Anolis sagrei: one gene and its partners. The protein of the gene in region 3 interacts with the protein of the main gene of each other region in a pairwise test. Links are inferred from orthologs where the notes say so. Each region holds a gene or a part of one and is shown on either strand. Other genes may lie near its edges.

Region 1 (7,459 bases), on a different chromosome or scaffold from region 3:
GTTGGAAACTAGGGAAATTGGGGTATTATATCTGTGGAAAGGAACATGAAAGGCACTGCAGACTATTTCAACCAGAGAAGTCAGCTATAGCAGAGCACCTAATGAATCAACCTGGACATAGTATATTATTTGAGAACACAGAAATGCTGAGCACTTTAACAACTACCATGTCAAGTTACACAGAGAAGCCACTGAAATCCACAAGCATGTGATCAATTTCAACAGAAAGGAGGAACCATAAAAATGAACAAAATCTGGCTACCAGTATTTAAAAAATCAGGATAGTAAATAAAGAACAAAAATAAAAAAGAAACAATCAGGGACACTAATTGCCTCTCAACAAAGGATTCCCCCAGGCAGTAAGAAGCCAGACCTTGAAAACCACTAGGCCATTAAATGCTAATCAAGGTAGCCAATTGAAACATTAACACCCACTGCACCACTGGGGGCTCCAACTGAGCAGAAATTGGGAGTCCTGCAGCAAGCAGGGACCAGCGGAAGGCAGAAAAATCCCCCTTGGGAAGGCTGCTGAGTCTGAGACTGCTATCCTTTCAAGGGGTCCTGAGGATTCGCAAAATGCCTGGTGAGCTATTAAAGCCAGTAAGATTTTCCCTTTCCCCAAATAATTCTCACCAGGTTGAAGAAAGGCCACCAAAGTTTATTTCTATTCCAGTTGGAAAGGTTGGGGTTTCAATATCACAGATATAGTAAAGGTAAAGGTTTTCTCTTGACAGTAAGTCCAGGCGTGTCCGACTCTGGGGGTTGGTGGCCATCTCCATTTCTAAGTCGAAAGGCTGGCGTTGTCTGTAGACACCTCCAAGGTCATGTGGCTGGCATGACTGCAAGGAGCACCGTTACCTTCCTGCTGTAGTGGTACCTATTGATCACCTCACATTTGCATGTTTTCAAACTGTTAGGTTGGCAGAAGCTGGGGCTGACAGCAGAAGCTGTCGAATCCCCGGATTCGATCCTGCAACCTTTCGGTCAACAAGCTCAGCGCTTTAACCCACTGTGCCACTGGGAGTTCCTTATCTGTGTCACAGATTTAGAAACACACTTTTCCTAGTTTCCAACAGACCCCTCAACCTCTGAGGATTTTTTTTTATCATGTAAGAAGTGACTTGAGAAACTGCAAGTTGCTTCTGGTGTGAGAGAATTGACCATTTACAAGGACATTGCCCAGGGGACACCTGGATGTTTTGATTTTTTTTACCATCCTTGTGGGAGGCTTCTCGCATGAGGAGCTGGAGCTGATAGAGAGAGCTCATCCACGTTCTCTCTGGATTCGAACCTGCGACCTGTGGTTTAACCCACTGCGCCACCGGGGGCTCCTCTGAGGATGGCTGTCATAGATGCAGGCGAAACGTCAGGAGACCCGCCTACCTGCGTGACCGCATCTCCGCTTACAAACCCACACGCTCACTTCGTTCATCCGGAGAGGCCCTGCTCGCGATCCCACCTGCGTCGCAGGCGCGTTTGGTGGGGTCGAGGGACAAGGCCTTCTCTGTGGTTGCCCCCCGACTTTGGAACACCCTCCCCAAAGACATTAGACTTGCACCCACGTTGGCAGTCTTTAGGAAGAACTTGAAGACCTGGCTATTCCGATGTGCCTTTCCAGAATAGGATAACCTCCAGCACCTTGTCCCAGAAGCACTTTACTAGAGTTTAATACTCTCTGCACATTGCACTTGCCCAGAACTCCAACATACCACCTCTCACATCCAGCACCTTTTTTAACCTGAACCCTTCATTGGCCTGGCCCTGATTTTATTGTATAATAGTGTAATGTTTTGTTGTGTTATTGCTTATGTTTTAATTTGCTTGCATCGTTATTGTCTGTTGTTGTTATGTTGAGGCCTTGGCCTTTGTAAGCCGCATCGAGTCCTTCGGGAGATGCTAGCGGGGTACAAATAAAGTTTAATAATAATAATTAATAAAAATGCTTCTGGAACATGGCCATACAGCCAAAAAACCTAGAACAACCCAGAGACTGGACTGTATTATTATAATAACCAAACAACAAACAATCAATAGCGGAGAAAAGTGGGTATGTGCAGATTTGAGGGCGGAAGAGAACTAGAGTAAAGTTATTAGGTTCTTGTGGGGTTTTTCGGGCTATAGGGCCATGTTCTAGACGTTTCGCCTGCATTTATGGCAAGCATCCTCAGAGGTAGTGAGGTCTGTTGGAATTAGGACAAACGCACCAAACACAGCGCCCAAACACAAATCAAGGAACATGAAAGGCACTGCAGACTACTTCAACCAGAGAAGTCAGCCATAGCAGAGCACCTGATGAACCAGCCTGGACACAGCATATTATTTGAGTACACAGAAATGCTGGACCACACCAACAATCACCATGTCAGACTACACAGAGAAGCCATTGAAATCCACAAGCATGTGATCAATTTCAACAGAAAGGGAGACCATGAAAATGAACAAAATCTGGTTACCAGTATTAAAAAAACTCTAAAATTACAACAGCAAAACAGCAGAGAGGAAACAACCAGGCACATCTTAGCACCTCTCAACAAAAGGTTTTCCCAGGCTCAGCCAGGCCTTCAAATGCTAATGAAGGTGGTCAGCTGAAACATTCACACCTAGCCCTAGCAGAGAAGAGCTCTTTGCCCCACCCCAGCCATTCCACAGATATATAAACCCATTTTCCTATTTCCAGAAAAGTGGGTATGTGCAGATTTGAGGGCGGAACAGGACTAGAGTAAAGTTGTTGTTATTATTATTTGGAAGTAAACGAAAACAAATCCCTCAATTTTCTGGGGTTTTTTCCCCTCCCAGACCTCCCCTCTCCTTCTCCCTCTCTCACCCGCCTTCCTCCTCTTCTTGTCCGCCCCCGGAGCCGCCGCCTCCTCCGTCTCCTTCTCCCCCGCTTGGCTCGGCCCCACCGCGGCCAGGCTCCTCCATCCCGCCGCCTCCTCCTCCTCCTCCTCTTGGGCCTGGGCCCGCCCTCGGCCTCTCCTCGGCGCGCCGGAAGTGCCGCGGGCGTGACGTCGCAAGAGCGCGCGGGGTAGAGAAAGAGAGCATAGCCAGGCCTTTAGTGATGACGCGTCGGTGGTTGCCAAGGCGACGGCGGAGGAAGCCGTCCCCGCCCCAATAGGAGCGATGGCGAGGGAGGGAGGGAGCCGAGGAGGGAACCAAAGAACTCCAGCTCCGCCCCTTGACCTGAGAAGAGGCCCCGAGCCCTTCTCCTTGGGACACAAAGCCGTTCTCGGAGGAACTGACGGGCGGAGGGAGAGAGGGAAGGAGGGAGAGGCGCAGCGGTGACTCGGCAAGCGCGTGACGTCATCAGTGCCTGCCACGCACGGCCTCTCACCCTTCACCCCGGATGCCTCCGCGGAGGGAAATAGTCCCTCGGTAATCTGCTGCTAGAGGACGCCTCGCTTATTAGTCAGGGAAGGGGAGGAAGGGAGGCCGCGGCGGGGCTTCTCCGGAAGGGGAACGAGTAAGGAAAGAAGGAAAGACGGGCCAGAGAGAGGTAGAGAGAGAGCCTGAGTGAGATCCGGCACGGTATCCTTCCGCCTGCGGGAGCGGTGCTGAGGCCGCGCCGCCGCCATTTTGGATGCCAGGCTGCTGGTTCTACCGCCGCTGCCGCCGCCGCCTTTGCCGCCGGGACCCGGCCCGGTGAGTGAGCGAGGGAGCCGGGGAGGGAGCCGGGGCCCGGAGGAGGCAGGAAGGGGAGGACCCGCCAGGAAGGAAGGAAGGGAGGGAGGGGAACACTGGGCCCTGCCCGGCCCTGCCTGGCCGGGTCGGAGTTGGGCCTCACCGTCAGGTCCCTTGCTGCAGGGAACTCTTCTCCCCTCCACTGTCTTCCCTCCCTCGCGCCCTCCTGGCTGAGAAGGCCTTCCTCTTGAAGGCAGAAAGCTGTCAAAGCCAATCCTGGTCATTTTTTATATACAAGCCGTCCCCGGGTTGCAAACACCTGACTTACAAACGTGTCCTAGGTCAAACGAAGCTCAGACAACAGGAAGTGGGAGGAACCCACTCCATTATATTAGTTCTATCTGTCATATAGTAGTCCCAGAGTTGCAAATGACTCCTAGTTCAAAACCTGGCTGAGACAACAGGAAGTAAAAGGAATCTTCCCCTCAGAAGGAAGGGAAATCCACTCCCGGAAGAGTCATCATCAGGGGGAAAGACTGGGTGGCCTTTGGGGGTTCCTTCCAAATTTATGATACTAGTTCTATCTGTCATATGGTAGTCCCAGAGTTGCAAACATCCGACTCACGAATGACTCCTAGTTAAAAACCTGGCCGAGACAACAGGAAGTGAGAGGAATCGGAAGGAAGGGAAATCCACTCCCGGAAGAGTCATTGTCAGGGGGAAAGACTGGGTGGTCTTTGGGGGTCCCTTCCAAATTTAGAATACTAGTTCTATCTGTCATATGGTAGTCCCTGAGTTACAAACATCTGACTTAAATGACTCCTGGTTAAAAATCTGGATGAGACAACAGGAAGTGAGAGGAATCGGAAGGAAGGGAAATCCACTCTCGGAAGAGTAATCATCAGGGGGAAAGACTTTGGGAGTCCCTTCCAAATTTATGATACTAGTTCTATCTGTCATATGGTAGTCCTAGAGTTGCAAACATCCGACTTACAAATGACTCCTAGTTAAAAACCTGGCTGAGACAACAAGAAGTGAGAGGAATCTTCCCCTCGGAAGGAAGGGAAATACACTCCCGGAAGAGTCATCATCAGGGGGAAGACTGGGTGGTCTTTGGGGGTCCCTTCCAAATTTATGATACTAGTTCTATCTGTCATATGGTAATCCCTGAGTTACAAACATCTGACTTAAATGACTCCTGGTTAAAAACCTGGCTGAGACAACAGGAAGTGAGAGGAATCGGAAGGGAAATCCACTCTCGGAAGAGTCATCATCAGGGGGAAAGACTGGGTGGTCTTTGGGGGTCCCTTCCAAATTTATGATACTAGTTCTATCTGTCATATGGTAGTCCCTGAGTTGCAAACATCTGACTTACAAATGACTGCTAGTTAAAAACCTGGCTGAGACAACAAGAAGTGAGAGCAATCTTCCCCTCGGAAGGAAGGGAAATCCACTCCCGGAAGAGTTATTGTCAGGGGGAAAGACTGGGTGGTCTCTGGGGGTCCCTTCCAAATTTATGATACTAGTTCTATCTGTCATATGGTAGTCCCTGAGTTACAAACATCTGACTTACAAATGACTCCTAGTTCAAAACAGGGCTGAGACAACAGGAAGTGAGAGGAATCTTCCCCTCGGAAGGAAGGGAAATCCACTCTCGGAAGAGTCATTGTCAGGGGGAAAGACTGGGTGGCCTTTGGGGGCCCCTTCCAAATTTATGATACTAGTTCTATCTGTCATATGGTAATCCCTGAGTTGCAAACATCCGACTTACAAATAACTCCTAGTTAAAAGCCTGGCTGAGACAACAAGAGCAATCTTCCCCTCGGAAAGAAGGGAAATTTACTCTTGGAAGAGTCAGGGGGAAAGACTGGGTGGCCTTTGGGGGTCCCTTCCAAATTTATGGTACTAGTTCTATCTGTCATATGGTAGTCCCTGAGTTACAAACATCCGACTTACAAATGACTCCTCGTTAAAAACGCGACTGAGACAACAAGATGTGAGAGCAATCTTTCCATTGGAAGAAAGGGAAATCCACTCTCGGAAGAGTCATCATCAGGGGGAAATACTGGGTGGTCTTTGGGGATCCCTTCTAAATTTATGATACTAGTTCTATCATAAATCACACACATGCACCTACAGGTAGTCCCTGAGTTTAAAACATCTGACTTACAAATGACTCCTAGTTAAAAACGAGGCTGAGACAACAGGAAGTGAGAGGAATCTTCCTCTCGGAAGGAAGGAAAATCCTCTCCTGGAAGAGTCATCATCAGGGGGAAAGACTGGGTGGTCTTTGGAGGTCCCTTCCAAATTTATGATACTAGTTCTATCTGTCATATGGTAGTCCCTGAGTTACAAACATCTGGCTTACTAATGACTCCTAGTTAAAAAAACCTGGCTGAGACAACAGGAAGTGAGAGGAATCTTCCTCTCGGAAGGAAGGGAAATCCACTCTCGGAAGATTCATCGTCAGGGGGAAAGACTGGGTGGCCTTTAGGGGTCCCTTCCAAATTTATGATACTAGTTCTATCTGTCATATGTGTGTATCACACACATGCACCTACAGGTAGTCCCTGAGTTTAAAACATCTGACTTACAAATGACTCCTAGTTAAAAACGGGGCTGAGACAACAGGAAGTGAGAGGAATCTTCCTCTCGGAAGGAAGGGAAATCCACTCTCGGAAGAGTCATTGTCAGACTGGATGGCCTTTGGTGTCCCTTCCAAAATTGTGATACTGTATCTATCTCCCATGTATATGTGTGTGTGTCAGGCATGGGTAAACTTTGGCCCTCCAGGTGTTTTGGACTTCAACTCCCACAATTCCTAACAGCCACTGTCAGGAATTGTGGGAGTTGAAGTCCAAAACACCCAGAGAGCCAAAGTTTACCCATGTCTGTACACACACACACATACAGGTAGTCCCTGAGTTACAAACATCCATAACACCTGGAGGGCCGAAGTTTGTCCATTGCTGATATATATGTATATATGCACACACATATACAGGTATTCCCTAAGTTATAAACATCCAATTTACAAACAACTTTTAGTTAAAAATGAGGCAGAGACAACAGGAAGTGAGAGGAATCTTCCCCCTCAGAAGGAAGGGAAATTTGCTCCTGGTAGAGTTATTATAAGGGGGAAAAGGGGGCTCCACTGAAACTTTGTCTCCAATCCTTGATTCCACAAGCAACCTTTTTTTTTTTTTTTCAAAATCCAATGATCACAGGGATAGAAAGTGAGGTGGGATCTTCTTCTTCTAAAATTATAAATAGGTGTGTGTGTGTGGCTGGAGTAACTTCTGGACTGCCTGTATATCAGTAGGTTGTAATTGCTTGAATCGTGTTGCCTATTTATTTTTAGCAGCTCTATGTTTCATGTTAATTTCGTGTTTCAGTTGTACGTTGTGTTTAGCATTGATAGCCGCTATAAGTCTCCCTTAAAACGGGAAAGCTGGATATAATACTGATAACCACAATAATAACAACAGTGCAGGCAGTGGTCTTCCTTGGGCCATTGGCAAAAGAGGCTTGTCCCTGTGCTGCTGACCGGATGGTGAAGCTGGCTTAAAAAATGAACTTGTTAAAGGCTCCCAGCAAAACCAAGCCAGGTGCAATTTCCAGAAGCTGACATCAACAGCCCTAGCTTCTTTCAGAGTCATATAACACGGGGACCCTTGGAAGCTTCCAGATGGAATTGCAGAGACCTGTAGCTTGTTGTGGGTCTTCAAGTTCTTTTGGAGGGAGAAGGGATTGTCTTTGCCTTCCTCTGAGACTGAGAGGGTGTCACTCGCTCAAGGTCCCCCAGTGGGTTTCCCCTGCTCTGGCTCTCCCTGGAGTCTGA
Region 2 (7,916 bases), on a different chromosome or scaffold from region 3:
GCTGGTCCATGAGGTCACGAAGAGTCGGAGACAACTGAACGAATGAACAACAACATACTAAACAAAAACATAAAATTTCCAGGATGTTTTTAAAAAATTAAAAACAACTTTTAAGTAAGACCTCCAACGCCAATTGGCCAAAAAATGATCTTTCTTCTGCCCAAACTACTACTAGTAAAAAACAAAAAAACAAAAACAATATGTCACTTCATAGATTGTCAGTTCTTTGTAATAGAAAATGACTAATCCTGCCCATGATTTGGGAATGGAGAATTACACCAATTCCTATAATCACAAATATTTGTGAATATATAACTTTAGCCCTTAAACTCATTAAGTCCTAGCTCTTTAAAAGTTTTGGCATATTTCTTGGTTTTGGCTTAAAGGCTCACAATGCAATCCCTACACTGTTACAACTGTTTTCCAAAAAGAAAGAACTGGCGCCCCTTAGTGTTCAAATATTAAAACATTTACCTCATCCACTGAATTTGCATGGAACATTTTTTCAACATTCCAGAAAGTTTTCAGCATATGCAGTTCTTCCACCCAGGAGCCAAAATAAACAGGAAAAGCAAAAAAGATTTAAAGGGGCAGTTGAACTTTCCCTTCAGGCTACCAAGAAAAGAAGAGTGGAAGAAAAAAAATAAGGATGGAACAAAACCAGATATAACTGTTTTGCTAGATTAACTTCCAATCTTTGTTTTGGACTTTTGAAAATAATACAAGGCCTGTTCATTCAAAGACTTTCAGAGCTTCAGGGGCATTTTAAAGGAACAATGACCTCACACATTCCATTTAAAATAGCCCTTTGGTACAATAAACACACCACTCTTTTGATCTTGACAAAGTTGGTCAGTCTTCTTTCCCAAATCAAACCAATTGTTCAGGAACTTCAAAAATTCATTGTTCATGCCTGTGTTTAATCGATAAAAATTATGTTGTATTGCTTATTTTGTAATTCAGAAAGTATTCAAAAGAGTTCTTTCAAAGAGATCCCAACTAGTCAGTGTTATCCAAACAGAATGTGGTCTGGAAAAAAAATCAGTCAAGGGGCACCTCACAACTATTTGGTAAATATGTTTTCAGCGGAAATATGTCATGGGATCAGTCAAGTCTATGAAGAATTCTGTATAGAATTACTCTCTTCCAAAAAAAAAAATCTAAATACTCAGACTAGGATCAAAACTGAATGTACACAACCACCCACATCTACATGGTAAGACCAAAACTCAATGTGCACAACCTCCCACGTCTACATGATAAGTTCAGCCACAACGCCCTCAAACTGAGGTCTGAATTCCCAAAAAACGATTTGGATTGAAGACTTAAAACTCAACCTGGTCCAAGAGAACATAATCACCATGAAGTCTGGAGCTTCCATGTCCAACCTATTTAAACATAAAAAACTCCTGAAGCTTGTTAGTAGTACTCCACAAAAGTGGCCTCTTGCAACTAACTCCACAGGGTGGGAGGCAGGCGGTGGGGAATCGGATAGTTGGCTTGGGATGAGCAGTGAGGATTCAGCAACCTTTCTGCGTTAGCTTTTTGGCACCAGAAATCGAGAACTTTCGAGTGAAGAGGCTTCAGTGTAAAAACCGAATGGAGAAGTTGGGTCTGTTTACTCTCAAAAACTTCAACCACTTTTTAGTCCAAACTGCCCGGTAGGGACGAGAGCCGAGCCCTTTCCACTTCCTGCCACCCCCTTTTTCTCCCTTCCAAGCCAATCTGAAACCAAACAAACAAAGGACACCCCGAGATCCCTTTCTGGACGTTGCAAAACTCACTCGCTTAACCAACACTGCTGTAAATCACGCCACTCGGCCTACTACTACTACTACTACTTAGTTGCGTCCTATGTGGAGTCTCAAAACTCTCCCCAAACTATCTCTCCCCTCGGCCTTTTTATAAAAAGGGCTACCTTAAGTCTTTAAAACAAGAGAACCGCGCCGAAGGGCCGAAGAAAGCCTCGCCTTCACTCCCTCCCTCAAAGGCCAAAACTTCTCGCCGAGAGAGAGAGAGACTTCCCGCTTCGTCTCTTTGTTTACGGGGAAGGAGGCAAGGCCAAAAAAGAAAGAGAGCAAAGAGGACGCCATTGAAGGGGCCAAAAAGAGGAGACACATTTTTTTTCACCGTGTATCCTCAAGGCCTAAGTTTTGTTTTGATCCAAAATAAAGAAAAGAGCGTGGTTTAAATTCGTGTATTATGATTATTATGATTATTATTGTGGCGGTTGTTGTTTGTTTTTACCTTCGTCCAGCAGCCTCTCGAGGTGGTTGAATATCCCGCAGAAGTTGGGGAGGCTGCTCATGAGCTTCTTGTCGTTCATGAGCTGCATCAGGTAATCGGGGCTGGGCTTGGGCTTCTCCTTGGTTTCCATTTCCCCCACCATATTCCCAGCGCGGCCGGAGAGCGAGCCGGGCGCCCGCAAGCCACACTCGCACTCGCCAGGCGGGAGAGGCCTCTTCCCCCCTGGAAGAAAAAGGAGGCGGGAGGAGGAGGAGGGGGGAAGGAGGGAAGGGGAGGAGGAGGAGGAGGAGGGACCCGCGGCCAGGGAAAGCACGGCGGCGGCGGCGGCTGCTCCTGCTGCTGCTCCCGGCGAGGAAGAACCAGAACAAGGAGGCGACTCCGACACAAACGGCGACACCGCGGAGGGGGCTGGGCGACCGCCACCCAAGCCTGCTGCCGCCGCCTCCGCCTCCTCCTCCGCTTGGATAAGGATCCCCGGCCGCCGCTCCCGCCTTGGAAGCCTTTCCTCCTCGGTGTCGTGCCGCTTGCCCGCCTCACTCGCAGCAGCCGAGGCGCCCGCTCCTCCTCTTCCTCCTCCTCGGCGGCGGAGGCGGGCTTGTCTTCGCGAAGAGTCCCCGCCGCTGTTTGTAAGGCTGTTTGTAAGGCTGCTCCCGGCCACCGGCGCTGCTGCTGCCGCTGCTGCTCCTTCTTCCGCCGCTGTTGCTGCTGGTGTGGTTCTGCTTGTGCCGCCGCCTGCCTGCCTGCCTGCCTTCCCTCCCTCCCCTCCCTCCTCCCCTCTTCCCCTCTTCCCCTCCCTCCCTCCTCCTCCCCTCCGCTGGTGCCGTTTGCTGGTCGCTGGCGAGCCTCAGCCTTTCCGACCACTGCCACTGCCGCCGCCGCCTCCTTCTTCGTCTTGTTCCTCCTCCTCCTCCTTCAGTTCGCTGTGGAGTTCGCTTCAGTTCAGGCTGCGCTGCTGGCGGCGAGGGGAGGAGGAAAAGGAGGAGGAGGAGGGGGGGGAGCGCCGCCGAGGAGCAGGGGCGGGGCGGCCGTTAATCAGCCCTTGGCGGCGGCCCTTGGCGGACTCGGAGCCCTCGACTCCGCCCCGCCCCTACGGGGGGGGGGGAAGGAAAAAGACTTGGGGGCTCTCTCTGGCGCCGCCGAGAACGGGAAAGCGCTTCACTTGTGAGGAGAACCACGACAAGAAGGTGGTGGTGGCGACGGCGGCGGTGGTTCTTCTCCGCGCACGCGCACCAGGACAGCACACAGAAATTTCCTTTTTTCACATATATATCTATCTACGCTTGTGGTGGGTGTTAAGGAGCCGGATGGGCGGGCGCGCGCACACATATCCGAAAAGAACGTTGGTTTGAAAAAAGAAAAAAAAAGGGCTCGTGCCGCTATACCTCGGATATAGTACTACTCGCTACGACGCGCGAGACGGCGCCTGTTGATACGCGCCTGCGCGAGGGCGCGCGAAGGAATGAACATTTCCCCCCCACCACCACGTTCCTCTATCTCCCCCCCCCCGCAACGTCCTCGCGCGTGCCTCCCTCCCTTCCCCATTTTTATTTATTTATTTAGAAACTCCTCCGTTAACACACATACACACAAAAAAACTTCAACCAATCTTGCGTTTAAGGCGGGACCGCGTCACGTGTTGCCAAGCTCCTGAAAAAAAAGGGAGGAGGGAGGAAAAAGGAAAGAGTCCTAATCGTAGATCGTTTTTGGTTTTTTTACTATTAAAGCGCATGCGCTCAATAAAGTCTGTTGGCTTGGCTTTTTTTTTTTAGACGGGGGGCGCGCGCCTGCCTGCTTGCCTGCCCGCCCGCGCGCCTCCAACGGTCTCGCGCCCTTCCTCCTCTTGGAGGTGTCGGAGGAAAGGAATGGGAGGGGCGGGGCCGAAGCTCGCGCACGAGCGCCTGCGCAGTAGGTAGGGAGAAAGGCACGTTCAAGAGGGGGGGAGGGGGGTTTGCCTGGCGGAGGAGTCAGTCGGTTCTGTTCCTGGAAGGAAGGAAGGTGCTCTCGCCTCGCCTTCGGTCTTCCCTTCCGCTTCTGAGGGGAAGCCCCGACAAGTACCGCCGCCCGCCACGCGTTTCCCCTTCTTGGGCTCCCTTCCTCGCCTCACCACTCGACCCAGGCCCGCTCTCTCTTCCCTTCCGTTTGCTTAACGCTCTGAGGAGGAAGGGAGGGCGAGGAAAGCCGCGGCTGGCAAGGCGAGGAGGAGGCTTCGGCTGCCATTCTGGAGTCAACCCCGCCGAATACATCGAACGGAACTTCCTCGGGAGTAAAGGGGATTCCTCAACTCCTTGTGGTTCCCTCCTACGACACAAGCGCATCAGGGCAGGCAGATGTAGAAACCAGGAGCCAGATTTATGCCTTCGTTCACACGAAGCCTGATTCTGCACTGTGGAATGAGTGCACTTTGACACCACTTTACCGCCATGGGATCGTGGAGGGTTGTAGTTTTGGCAAGGCCTTGGCCCCGCCAAACAGTGTCGGCGCCTCACCGAACTACAACTCCCACGATTCCATAGCAGTGAACCCCGGCAGTTTAAAGTGGTATCAAGTTGGGTTATTGTGTATTTTTCTGGCTATGTGGCCATGTTCCAGAAGCATTCTCTCCTGACCTTTCGCCTGCATCTATGGCAGGTATCCTCACAGGTTGTCCTTAAATATTTATTTATTTATTTCGGGGGACTCAGGGCGGCTTACAAACAGGCACAATTTGATGCCTACACAATAATACAATAAACGTATAAAAACAGCAGTTAAACGGTTAAACAATTAAAACAACAATATATGTCACAGTCAATAGCCAATCTCAACCAACTCAGATTCCATACTTCGTTCCACATTGTCTGTTCCTATCCGCCGTCGCAGTCCTTTATTTATCTGCCAGAGTGCCCAAACGCCTGGTCCCACATCCATGTTTTTAATTTCTTTCTAAAGGAAAGGAGGGATGTCGCTGATCTAATTTCCTCGGGGAGTGAATTCCATAAGTGAGGGGCCACCACTGAGAAGACCCTGCTCCTCGTCCCCGCCAATCTCACTTGTGACAGGCGGAGCTGAGAACAGGGCCTCCCCAGAGGATCTCAAACTCCGAGGTGGGACATAGAGGGAGATGCGTTCGGACAGATACGCTGGGCCGGAACTGTATAGGGTTTTGTAGGTCAAAACCAGCACTTTGAATTGTGCTCGGAACTGGATCGGCAGCCAGTGGAGCTGACACAACAGGGGGGTGGTATGCTCCCTGTATGATGCTCCAGTGAGCAATCTGGCTGCCTCCTGCTGGACTAATTGAAGTTTCCGAACAGTCTTCAAAGGCAACCCCACATAGAGTGCATTGCAGTAATCTATCTGGGATGTAACAAGAGCATGGACCACCCTGGACATTCCACAGATATATAAACCCCACTTGCGAAGTTCCCAACATCCGTCATAACCTCTGAGGATACCTGCCATAAATGTGGGAAAAACATCAGGAAATAATGCTTCTGGAACATGGCCATACAGCCCAGAAAACTCACAACAACTCACAGTGATTCTGGCCATGAAAGCCTTCCACAATACATGGTGTCAGATTGTACTCACTCTGCAGTGTAGATGCACCCTGTGTGCGCGCCTTCAAGTCTCATCCACTTAGGGCAGTGGTTCTCAACCTGTAGGTCCTCAGATGTTTTGGCTTACAACGTCAAGAAATCCCAGCCAGTTTACCAGCTGTTAGGATTTCTGGGAGTTGAAGGCCAAAACATCTGAGGACCACTTAGGGAGACCACATACTTCAGAGGGGTGTCAAGCATGAAGGACCCGGGGTTGCTTTCCCAGTCTCTTGCTCTCTCAAACATAGTATTTGCTGGTGGCCTTCCATCCAAGTATGAGCCAGGGTTGATTTTGCTTAACTCCCAAGGCCACATCCTCTTCTATCTGGTGCCTTTACGGCAGGCATAGGCAAACTTGGGCCCTCCAGGTGTTTGGGTCTTGAACTTCCACCATTCATAACAGCCTCAGGCCCTTTCCTTTCCCTCCTGAGCTGCTTAAGCGGCTGAGGAGGAAAAGGGAAGGGCTTGCAACTATTAGGAATGGCGGGGGTTCAAAACTCCTGGAAGGAGGGCCCAAGTTTGGCCATGCCTGTTTTAGGGTGCTTAGCATGTATCTTTGCTGTAGAATTAATGCGATTCAATGCCCCTTGAACTTTGAAAGAGTCATGGGAGTTGCAGTTTTAGCCTTCTCTGCTAGAGTGCTTGTGCCTCAGAAAACTACAATTCTTCTGCCCCCATATTGAGCCATGGCAAATAAAGTGGGGTCAAAGTGTGTTAATCCTGCAGTGCAGCCTCAGGGCTGGATCTACACTGCCATATAATGTAGATTCAGAAAGCAGATTAAATCCATTCAATGGTATTGTATGAATCTATACTCCAGTATAATCTAGTTCAATGAAACTGCATTATATGGTGGTGTAGATCCAGCCCCGGGATCCCAGCAGGTCGCCCCTCTCTTGCCACATCATCTTCTATCTGGTGATATATATATATAATATGGAACCTCCAGTGGCGCAGTGGGTTAAACTGCTAAATTTGCTGTCCGAAAGGTTGGTGGCTAGAATCCTGGGAGTGGGATGAGCTCCTGCTGTTAGCTCCAGCTTCTACCAACCTAGCAGTTCGAAAACATGCAAATTTGAGTAGATCAGTAAGTACTGCTTTGGCGGATAGGTAATGGCGCTCCATGTAGTCATGCCGGCCACATGACCTTGGAGATGTCTATGGATAACGCCAGCTCTTTGGCTTAGAAATGGAGATGAGCACCATCCCCATAGTCGAACTCGACTAGACTTAATGTCAAGGGGAAACCTTTCCCTTTATACACACACATTATCACAATGAGCTGATCCTCAAACTGTCAGGATCCTAGGACTGTTGTGCTGCTTTTGCTCGTTTTAGCCCCCATCCCTCCTTTCTTCATCTCTGCCTGCATCCTTCTCTCTCTCTCTCTCCCTCCCCCTTGAATTCTTCCTTTGTCTTTCTTTCCGGCGCTTAAAAGCCCAGCGACAGCATCAGTGCCGGGGGTTCACTTTCAAATATGCTCTTGTTTGCACTATATCTGAGCTAGGAAAAACAGAAAATCTGTTCCGCCTTTCTTTGCCTTTTTTTTTTGTTTTGTTTTGTCAGAGGGGGATGCTTGGTCGCTGCAGAAACATGCGAAGCGGATTGCACTTGGCTGGCCCGACTCATTTCCTTTTCCCGTCATTGTGGAAATGTGTTATCTCTACCCAGATTTTGCTTCCCACGGTGCCTCCGACTGTCTTGGCCATGTGTTGTTTGAGGGAGGGCACTTCATATTCAGTTTACTCCCCTTGTTAGAAATTGTTTCGCAGCCGCCTGCACACACTATTCCTTTTTTTTTCTTTTTCTTTTACCCTTCAGAACTTCTCTAAGTCTCTCACAAAGGCTAGGCTCAAGTACTCGTTTTGGGGGAAAGGACCTCTTTGCTTGATAAGATTTTGCAGACCCATTTGATCAGGAGCCCGTTGTGCTTTCAGGGGTCCCTACTCATGGGGAAAGCTCTCAGGCTGGAGTCCTACTTGACAAACCTACTGAAATGGATGAGTAAATCAAATTAACATCAATATGAGCAAAGCTCTTATCTGCTTCTGCGGTTCTCTGTTTTTTGATAAATGAATATTGACAATGCTA
Region 3 (7,717 bases):
GTATTTGCATATACCTGCATAATCTTGGAGATGAGACCCAAGCGTAAACGCGGAATTCATCTATATTTCCCAGACACTTTATAAACATAGCCTGAATATTATACACAATGTTTTTAATGATTTTGTGTACAAAACAAAGCTTGTGTACATTGAACTATCAGAGAGCCAAGGTGTCACTACCTTAGCCACCCATGGAGACATCTTTGAGGTATTTTGGAATTCCAAACAATGGATGCTCAACCTGTTTAAAGGATACTTGAATACTCTACTTTGCAGTAGAGAAGTTTCCTAAAATGAGAAGATATTAGTACTACAAACCTAAAGATACTACTACTAGGTTCTGTAGGTTTGTTAAGATGAATTTGTATGTAAGTCAGAACAGGTCCATTTTTAAGTGTAACTCCAGATAGATAGAAATATATAAATATAAATACATATATACATACACACACAAGCAAGCTTTGGATAGCCTGTGGTGTTTATTTTGCTGTGTGTGCCCCTGTTCAAAAGATTTAACTTCACTTTCTGTCCCTGTGAAAATTGAATTTTGGAAAAAAAAAAACCCAAGGAAACAAGGAGTGGGACTAAAGTTTCAATTGTGACACCTTTTCCCCAGGACAACTCTTCCAGGAGTGGATTTCCCTTGAGAGGTAGATTTCTCTCACTTCCTGTTGTCTCACCCCTGTTCTTAACTAGGAGTCATTTGGAAAGCAGTTGTTTGTAACTTGGGGACTGTGAAGAAACATGAGGACCATGTATAAATATGTGAGGAGAAGCCATCGGGAGGATGGGGCAGGCTTGTTTTCTTCTGCCCTGGAGACTAGGACGTGGAACAACAGCTGCAAACTACAGGAAACCTAACATTAGGAAGAACTTCCTAACTGTGAGAGCTGTTGAGCAGTGGAACTCTCTGCCCTGGAGTGTGGTGGAGGTTCCTTTTTTGGAGACTTTTAAGCAGATGCTGCTTTACAATGTTTTTAGACTGGACTATGGAGAGGCTCTGGACTGGGCTGTTGGTCGCTGAATCAAACTCGGATATGGCTATATGGTTAATAATAATCTTTAAATGGTTTTTAATTTAATGTATTATTTAATGTTTTTATTGTAATGTATTTAATGTATTATTTGTTTTATTGTAATGTGTTTAATGTATTATTTAATGGTTTTATTGTAATATTTTGTATGTTGCCGGCATCAGATTGCTGTCATTGTAAGCTGCCCTGACTCCCCTCTTGGGAGTAGAGAATGACGGGGTATAAATGTTTGAAATAAATAAATAAAATTTTCCTGCTTCTTGGCAGAGGGTTGGATTGGACGGCCCACAATGTCTCTTCCAACTCTATGATTCTATGAATGAAGAGATGACCAATGCTGTAGATCAGTGGTTCTCAACCTGTGGGTCCCCAAATGTTTTGGCCTACAACTCCCAGAAATCCCAGCCAGTTTACCAGCAGTTGGGATTTCTGCGAGTTGAAGGCCAAAATATCCCAGGACCCACAGGTTGGGAACCACTGCCGTAGATTATATCTGTCAAGAAATTTACAAAATCACTTCTAAGTATTCCCTGCTGGTAGGGGGGATGGGGTGGACAACTATGAGATCTATTTGCCACCATTGAGTCAATAGATGAGTCAAAGGCACATAAAGATAGATGCAAGGGCTCGATCTACACAGCCCTGTGATGCAGTTCCACAATGCAGATGAACTGGAGTGATGATACGGCAGTGTAGACTAGGCATGGGCCAACTTGGGCCCTCTAGATGTTTTGGACTCCAACTCCCACCATTCCTCACAGCCTCAGGCACCTTCCTTTTCCCCCTTGGCCGCTTAAGCGGCCGAGGGGGAAAAGGAAAGGGCCTGAGGCTGTGAGGAATGGTGGGAGTTGGAGTCCAAAACACATGGAGGACCCAAGTTGGCCCATGCCTAGTGTAGACTCTCAAAATCCAGCCTGAGGTTGTGAGGAATGGTGGGAGTTGGAGTCCAAAACACCTGAAGGACCCAAGTTGGCCCATGCCTAGTGTAGACTCTCAAAATCCAGTTCAATGCCTTCTGAAACTGCATTGCAGGCCAGTGTAGGTCCAGCTCAGGGCATCGATCAGACTGACAGCGTTGTTTAACAGTGTCTCTCTCAAAGTAGCAGCTCACGACCATAAACAACAACACAGGGGTGATGAGGAGACGTGCCTGGGTGCCAAGATCACACGTGACGGTGTACACGTAGGTGACACGCCATTTTCTACAAAGAAAAAAAAGCGGCATGGTGTGTTACCAGGGTGTGAAGACAGAATGAGACTGAGAGAGAGACCTCAGAAGGAGAGAGCTGGGCCTCGCGCCCTCTGAGGCCCACTCACAGCAGAAGCAATAGCAGTATCCGTTTTCCCTCAGAAGAAGGGGATTTTTGGGCCTCTGTTTCCTACCTGCATCCCGCCACCGCCGTCGGGCTCCGCCTCGGTCCGCAGCCTCTTGCTCTGCCCGCCCTCGGCGCCCTCCCCGCCCGGCATCGGCTGCTCCAGCTCGGGCTCCCGCTTCAGCCCTCGAGGGGCGGCCGAGGAAGAGGAGGAGGAGGAGGGGACGCCGCCGCCGAGCACCAGCTGCTGGTGCGGGATGCCTTCCGCCATCCGAGCCGGAGCCCGGCCGCCCCGCTTTCCCTCAAGGAGAGGAAGGAAGGCTTCTCCCGGTGGAGGCCCAAGCGGGAAGGAAGGGAGGAAGGAAGGTCGCTCGCTGAGGGGAAAGCACTGAGTGAGGCTTGTCTCTCTTGCTTTCTCTCTTAGGGGGAAAAAAAGGAGACCCGACGAAGCGCCGAAGCAGTTCGGGGCCTGTGCCGGAAAGTGCCGAGGGCGCTCGGGAAAAAAAAAGACCCTCGGCAATCTCCGGAAAGCACTCGAAAAGGAGACCCTCTCACTCGGGAATGGCGGAGTCAGGGGGAAAGGGGCGGGGCTACTGCCCTACAAGGGGCGGGGTTACGGAGGGAGGGAACGAAAGGCCCAGGCGGGAAAGAATTGAGTGAGGTTTCTCTTTGAGGGGGAAAAGGAGGCCCGCCAAAGCGCCGATGCAGTTCGGAGCCTGTGGCGGAAAGTGCCGACGGCGCTCGGGGAAAAAAAAGACCCTCGGCAATTTCCGGAAAGCACTCGAAAAGGAGAGCCTCTCAGAAAGCTTCGGGATGGCGGAGTTGGGGGAAAGGGGGCGGGGCTACTACCCTAGAAGGGGCGGGGCAACGGAGGGAGGGAAAGAAGGTCGCTGAGGGAAAGAACTGAGTGAGGTTTTTCTTTGAGGGGGAAAAGGTGGCCCGCCGAAGTGGCGAAGCAGTTCGGGGCCTGTGGCGGAATGTGCCGACGGCACTCGAGGGAAAAAAAGACCCTCGGTAATCTCCGGAAAGCACTCGAAAAGGAGACCCTCTCACTCGGGAATGGCGAAGTCGGGGGGAAAGGGGCGGGGCTACTGCCCTAGAAGGGGCGGGGCTACGGAGGGAGGGAAAGAAGGTCGCTGAGGGAAAGAACTGAGTGAGGTTTTTCTTTGAGGGGGAAAAGGTGGCCCGCCGAAGTGGCGAAGCAGTTCGGGGCCTGTGGCGGAATGTGCCGACGGCACTCGAGGGAAAAAAAGACCCTCGGTAATCTCCGGAAAGCACTCGAAAAGGAGACCCTCTCACTCGGGAATGGCGAAGTCGGGGGGAAAGGGGCGGGGCTACTGCCCTAGAAGGGGCGGGGCTACGGAGGGAGGGAAAGAAGGTCGCTGAGGGAAAGAACTGAGTGAGGTTTTTCTTTGAGGGGGAAAAGGAGGTCTGCCAAAGCGCCGAAGCAGCTCGGGGCTGTGGCGGAAAGTGCCGACGGCGCTCGGAAAAAAAGACCTTCGGCAATGTCCGGAAAGCACTCAAAAAGGAGACCCTCACACTTGGCAAGCTTCGGGATGGCGGCGTCGGGGGATAGGGGCGGGGCTACTGCCCTAGAAGGGGCGGTGCCTGTGGCGGAAAGTGCTCGGAAAAAAGACCTTCGGCAATGTCCGGAAAGCACTCAAAAAGGGGTCCCTCTCACTCGGCAAGCTTCGGGATGGGAGAGTAGAGGAGGAAGGGGCGGGGCTACTGCTCTAGAAGGGGCGGGGCCACGGAGGGAGGGAACTAGAGGCCCAGGCGCGAAGGAGGGAAAGAATTAAGCCAGGCTTCTCTGAGAGGGAAAAGGACACCCGCCGAAGCACCGAAGCAGCTCGGGGCCTGTGGCGGAAAGTCCCGACGGCGCTCGGGGGAAAAAAAAAGACATTCGGCAATGTCCGGAAAGCACTCGAAAAAGAGACTCTCTCACTCGGAAAGCTTCGGGAATGGCAGAGTTTAGGAGAGAAGGGGCGGGGCTACGGAGGGAGGGAATGTTTATTCTCCTTAGTTTGAGTCTGGCGGAGGGAAGGGAGGAAAGCGCGTCATCTGGCTGCCAGGCATTGTGCCAGCAATGTGTCTAAATTGGGCACCATGGTTTTTTTTTCTGCCAGAATGCTTTCAGCCACACCAAACAGTTGTGGTGCTTCAACTCCCACAATTCCTAACAAGGCAAACTTTGGCCCTCCAGGGGTTTTGGACTTCAACTCCCACAATTCCTAACAGCCGGTTATTTTTAGATCTCAATTGCAAAAGCTTTTGGAATATCACTTTAATATTTTATAGTTTAATATATTTTGATTGCCAGTCCACCCCCTTCACATTCAAAGCATCCCTGGCAGATGGCCATCCAGCCTCTGTTTAAAAGCCTCCAAAGAAGGAGCCTCCACCACACTCTGGGGCAGAGAGTTCCACTGCTGAACAAATCTCACAGTCAGGAAGTTCTTCCTAATGTGCAGGTGGAATCTCCTTTTGTGTCGTTTGAAGCCATTGCTCCACCTCCTCGTCTCCAGGGTAGCAGAAGACAAGCTTGCTCCCTCTTCCCTATGACATCCTCTCATATATTTATACATGGCCATCATGTCTCCTCTTGACGTTCTCTTCTGCAGCCTAAACATGCCCAGCTCTTTATGCCGCTCCTCATAGGGTTTGTTCTCCAGGCCTTTTATCATTTTAGTCGCCCTCCTCTGGATACATTCCAGCTTGTCAATATCTCTCTTGAATTGCGGTGCCAAGAATTGGACACAGTGTGATTCCAGGTGTGGTCTGACCAAGGCAAAATGGAGCGGTAGCATAACTTACCTGGATCTAGACACTAAACTTCTATTTATACAGGCCAAAATCCCATTGGCTTTTTAAGCTGCTGCATGGCATTGCTGGCTCACGTTTAACTTGTCAACGAGACTCCAAGATCTTTTTCATACATACTCCTGTTGAACCGGGCATTCCCCATTCCGTATCTTTGCATTTCATTTTTTTTTCTGCCTAAGTGGAGTATCTTGCATTTGTCCCTGTTGAACTTCATTTTGTTAGTTTTGGCCCATCTCTCTGATCTGTCAAGATCGTTTTGAATTCTGCTCCTGTCTTCTGTGGTATTGGCTATCTCTCCCAATTTGGTGTCATCTGCAAACTTGATGATCATGCCTTCTGACCCTTCATCTAAGACAGTGGCTCTCAACCTGGGGTCCCCAGATGTTTTTGGTCTACAACTCCCAGAATCCTAACAACTGGTAAACTAGCTTGGATTTCTGGGAGTTGTAGGTCAAAAACACCTGGGGACCCCAGGTTGAGAACTACTGATCTAAGACATTAATAAAGATGTTGAACAGAACAGGACCCATCTTACATTGTATCCATGGATCCTGCATCCATAAATGTAATCACAGGCAGGTTTAAAATATTTTTAAACATTCCCGAAGGCAGACTTTGATGTCGTTTTATATAGGGACACCATTTTACTACACCATTGTATGTATATCAAGGGACGTGAGTGTCTACACATTTCAGTATCCATTGGGAGCGGGGAATGCTGGAACCAAATCCCAGCAGATACCAAGAGTGCACTGTATATTGTATATTTTTTTGTATTTTATCTAGATGATTAATATTTATCTAGTTTTATATGCAGTGGCTCAATTGGCTAGGAGTTACGTTGTGGCGCAGTTGGCTAGGAGCCAGCTGCATTAAATCACCACTGACCGAAAGGTCATGAGTTCAAAGCCAGCCCAGGTCGGAGTAAGCTCCTGACCATTTGTCTAGTTTGCTGTTGACCTTTGCAGCCTGAAAGACAGTTGCACCTCTTAAGTAGGAAATTTAAGTACTGCTTATGCGAGGAGGCTAATTTAACTAATTTACGATGCCATAAAAATCTCCAGCAGCGGGCGAAAGAATGAGGAAGTACTCCATCATGGACTCGGTGCTACAAGTGGACCGTAAAGTGACAGCTCCCCCGGTGGCCAGAATTCGAGCATATCTTCATGAAGCTTAAATTGCCTCTGTGTTTCTCTATATCAGGGGTCCTCAAACTTTTTCAACAGAAGGCCAGGTCACAGTCCCTCAAAGTGTTAGAGGGCCGGATTATAATTTGGAAAAAAAAATGAATGAATTCCTAAGCACACTGCACATATCTTATTTGTAGTGCAAAAAACACTTAGAAACAATACAATACTTAAAATGAAGAACAATTTAAACAAATATAAACTTATTAGTATTTCAGTGTGAAGTGTGGGCCTGCTTTTGGCTGATGAGATAGGATTGTTGTTGTTGTGTGCTTTCAAGTCATTTCAGACTTAGATTGACCCTGAGCGAGGGCCGGGTAAATGACCTTGAAGGGCCGTATCCTGCCCCCGAGCCATAGTTTGAGGACACCTGGTCTATATATTGTGTGTCTATGGCATTGAATGTTTGCCATGTATATGTGCACTGTGATCTGCCCTGAGTCCCCTGCAGGGTGAGAAGGGCGGAATATAAATGCTGTAAATAATAATAAATAAATAGTTCCTTTTATCCACATCTGATAAATCAGGTCCTCTCCAATATTTTCTATGTTCTCCAACATGACTTCTTGGGCAAGAAGTCCTTCATTTGAGTAATTTCACATATCCATGTAAAGCCCAGAGAATGCAGAAATCACTTGGTATTCATTGGTGATCTCCCATCCAATTACAAGCCAGGCTGACTCTGCTTAGCTTTCAAGGTCAGGCAGGCAAGACTTTTCATGCCTAATGACTGGCAGCTGACCCTCCTCCATTCTTTGGCAGAAGCTAATCTTCCTTTATCTCTAAATATATAAACCTAAGTGGTGACAGGATGTTGAACAGTGCGATACCCAGAAGGACAACCTCCCTTCCAAAAAGACAATAAACACAGGTGCAAACTGGCACCCTCTGCAGCGTCCTTCATCCCATGCAGTTCCCTTCCCCCATATTAATTTGGCTGGTTGCCCAATGACTGCTGATTGAACATCAGCCACTTAAACGCCATCAATAGAACACAACACTAATTAGTGCATGATTCACTAGTCTTATTAGCAGAGGAATCGGGAACAGAACTTGGGGGGAGGGATCCTTTCCCAGATTCTATTCAGTTTTCCTACTGGCGTTTGGTCTCTTCACTGTTCATGGTATTTATTTACTTAAATGTTTATGCTGCATTTCTAATATGGGACCCAAAGCAGCCACACACAAGAGAGCACATCAAGGCACGATCACACGTATTAAAATCACTATGTTGGCTGTCAAGTTAGTTTATGGCAATGGTAAAAATATTTGATTGTTATCTTTAAAAGCCCTGCGTGGCTTTAGTCTAGGATCTCTGTCGGCCCGCCCTCTCATACAAACATCCCTATACACTCAAGGT

What was found. The genes of interacting proteins can lie anywhere in the genome.
Region 1: the proteins of RBFOX2 (region 3) and ATXN1L interact in binary tests that used the Homo sapiens proteins (3 or more experiments, as listed by UniProt). The link is inferred for Anolis sagrei from reciprocal best matches to the Homo sapiens genes RBFOX2 and ATXN1L.
Region 2: the proteins of RBFOX2 (region 3) and QKI interact in binary tests that used the Homo sapiens proteins (3 or more experiments, as listed by UniProt). The link is inferred for Anolis sagrei from reciprocal best matches to the Homo sapiens genes RBFOX2 and QKI.

Annotation. Positions count from the first base shown.
Region 1 is NC_090028.1:29,558,561-29,566,019, forward strand, and holds the start of ATXN1L (ataxin-1-like), read right to left. Parts: upstream 3,074-7,459; 5' UTR 2,825-3,073; intron 1-2,824. UniProt on the Homo sapiens protein: Chromatin-binding factor that repress Notch signaling in the absence of Notch intracellular domain by acting as a CBF1 corepressor. Binds to the HEY promoter and might assist, along with NCOR2, RBPJ-mediated repression.
Region 2 is NC_090021.1:66,442,391-66,450,306, forward strand, and holds the start of QKI (KH domain-containing RNA-binding protein QKI), read right to left. Parts: upstream 3,074-7,916; 5' UTR 2,390-3,073; coding exon 2,248-2,389; intron 26-2,247; exon of another isoform or gene 11-25; coding exon of another isoform or gene 1-10. UniProt on the Homo sapiens protein: RNA reader protein, which recognizes and binds specific RNAs, thereby regulating RNA metabolic processes, such as pre-mRNA splicing, circular RNA (circRNA) formation, mRNA export, mRNA stability and/or translation.
Region 3 is NC_090025.1:166,833,339-166,841,055, reverse strand, and holds the start of RBFOX2 (RNA binding protein fox-1 homolog 2), read right to left. Parts: upstream 3,007-7,717; 5' UTR 2,619-3,006; coding exon 2,418-2,618; intron 1-2,417. UniProt on the Homo sapiens protein: RNA-binding protein that regulates alternative splicing events by binding to 5'-UGCAUGU-3' elements. Prevents binding of U2AF2 to the 3'-splice site.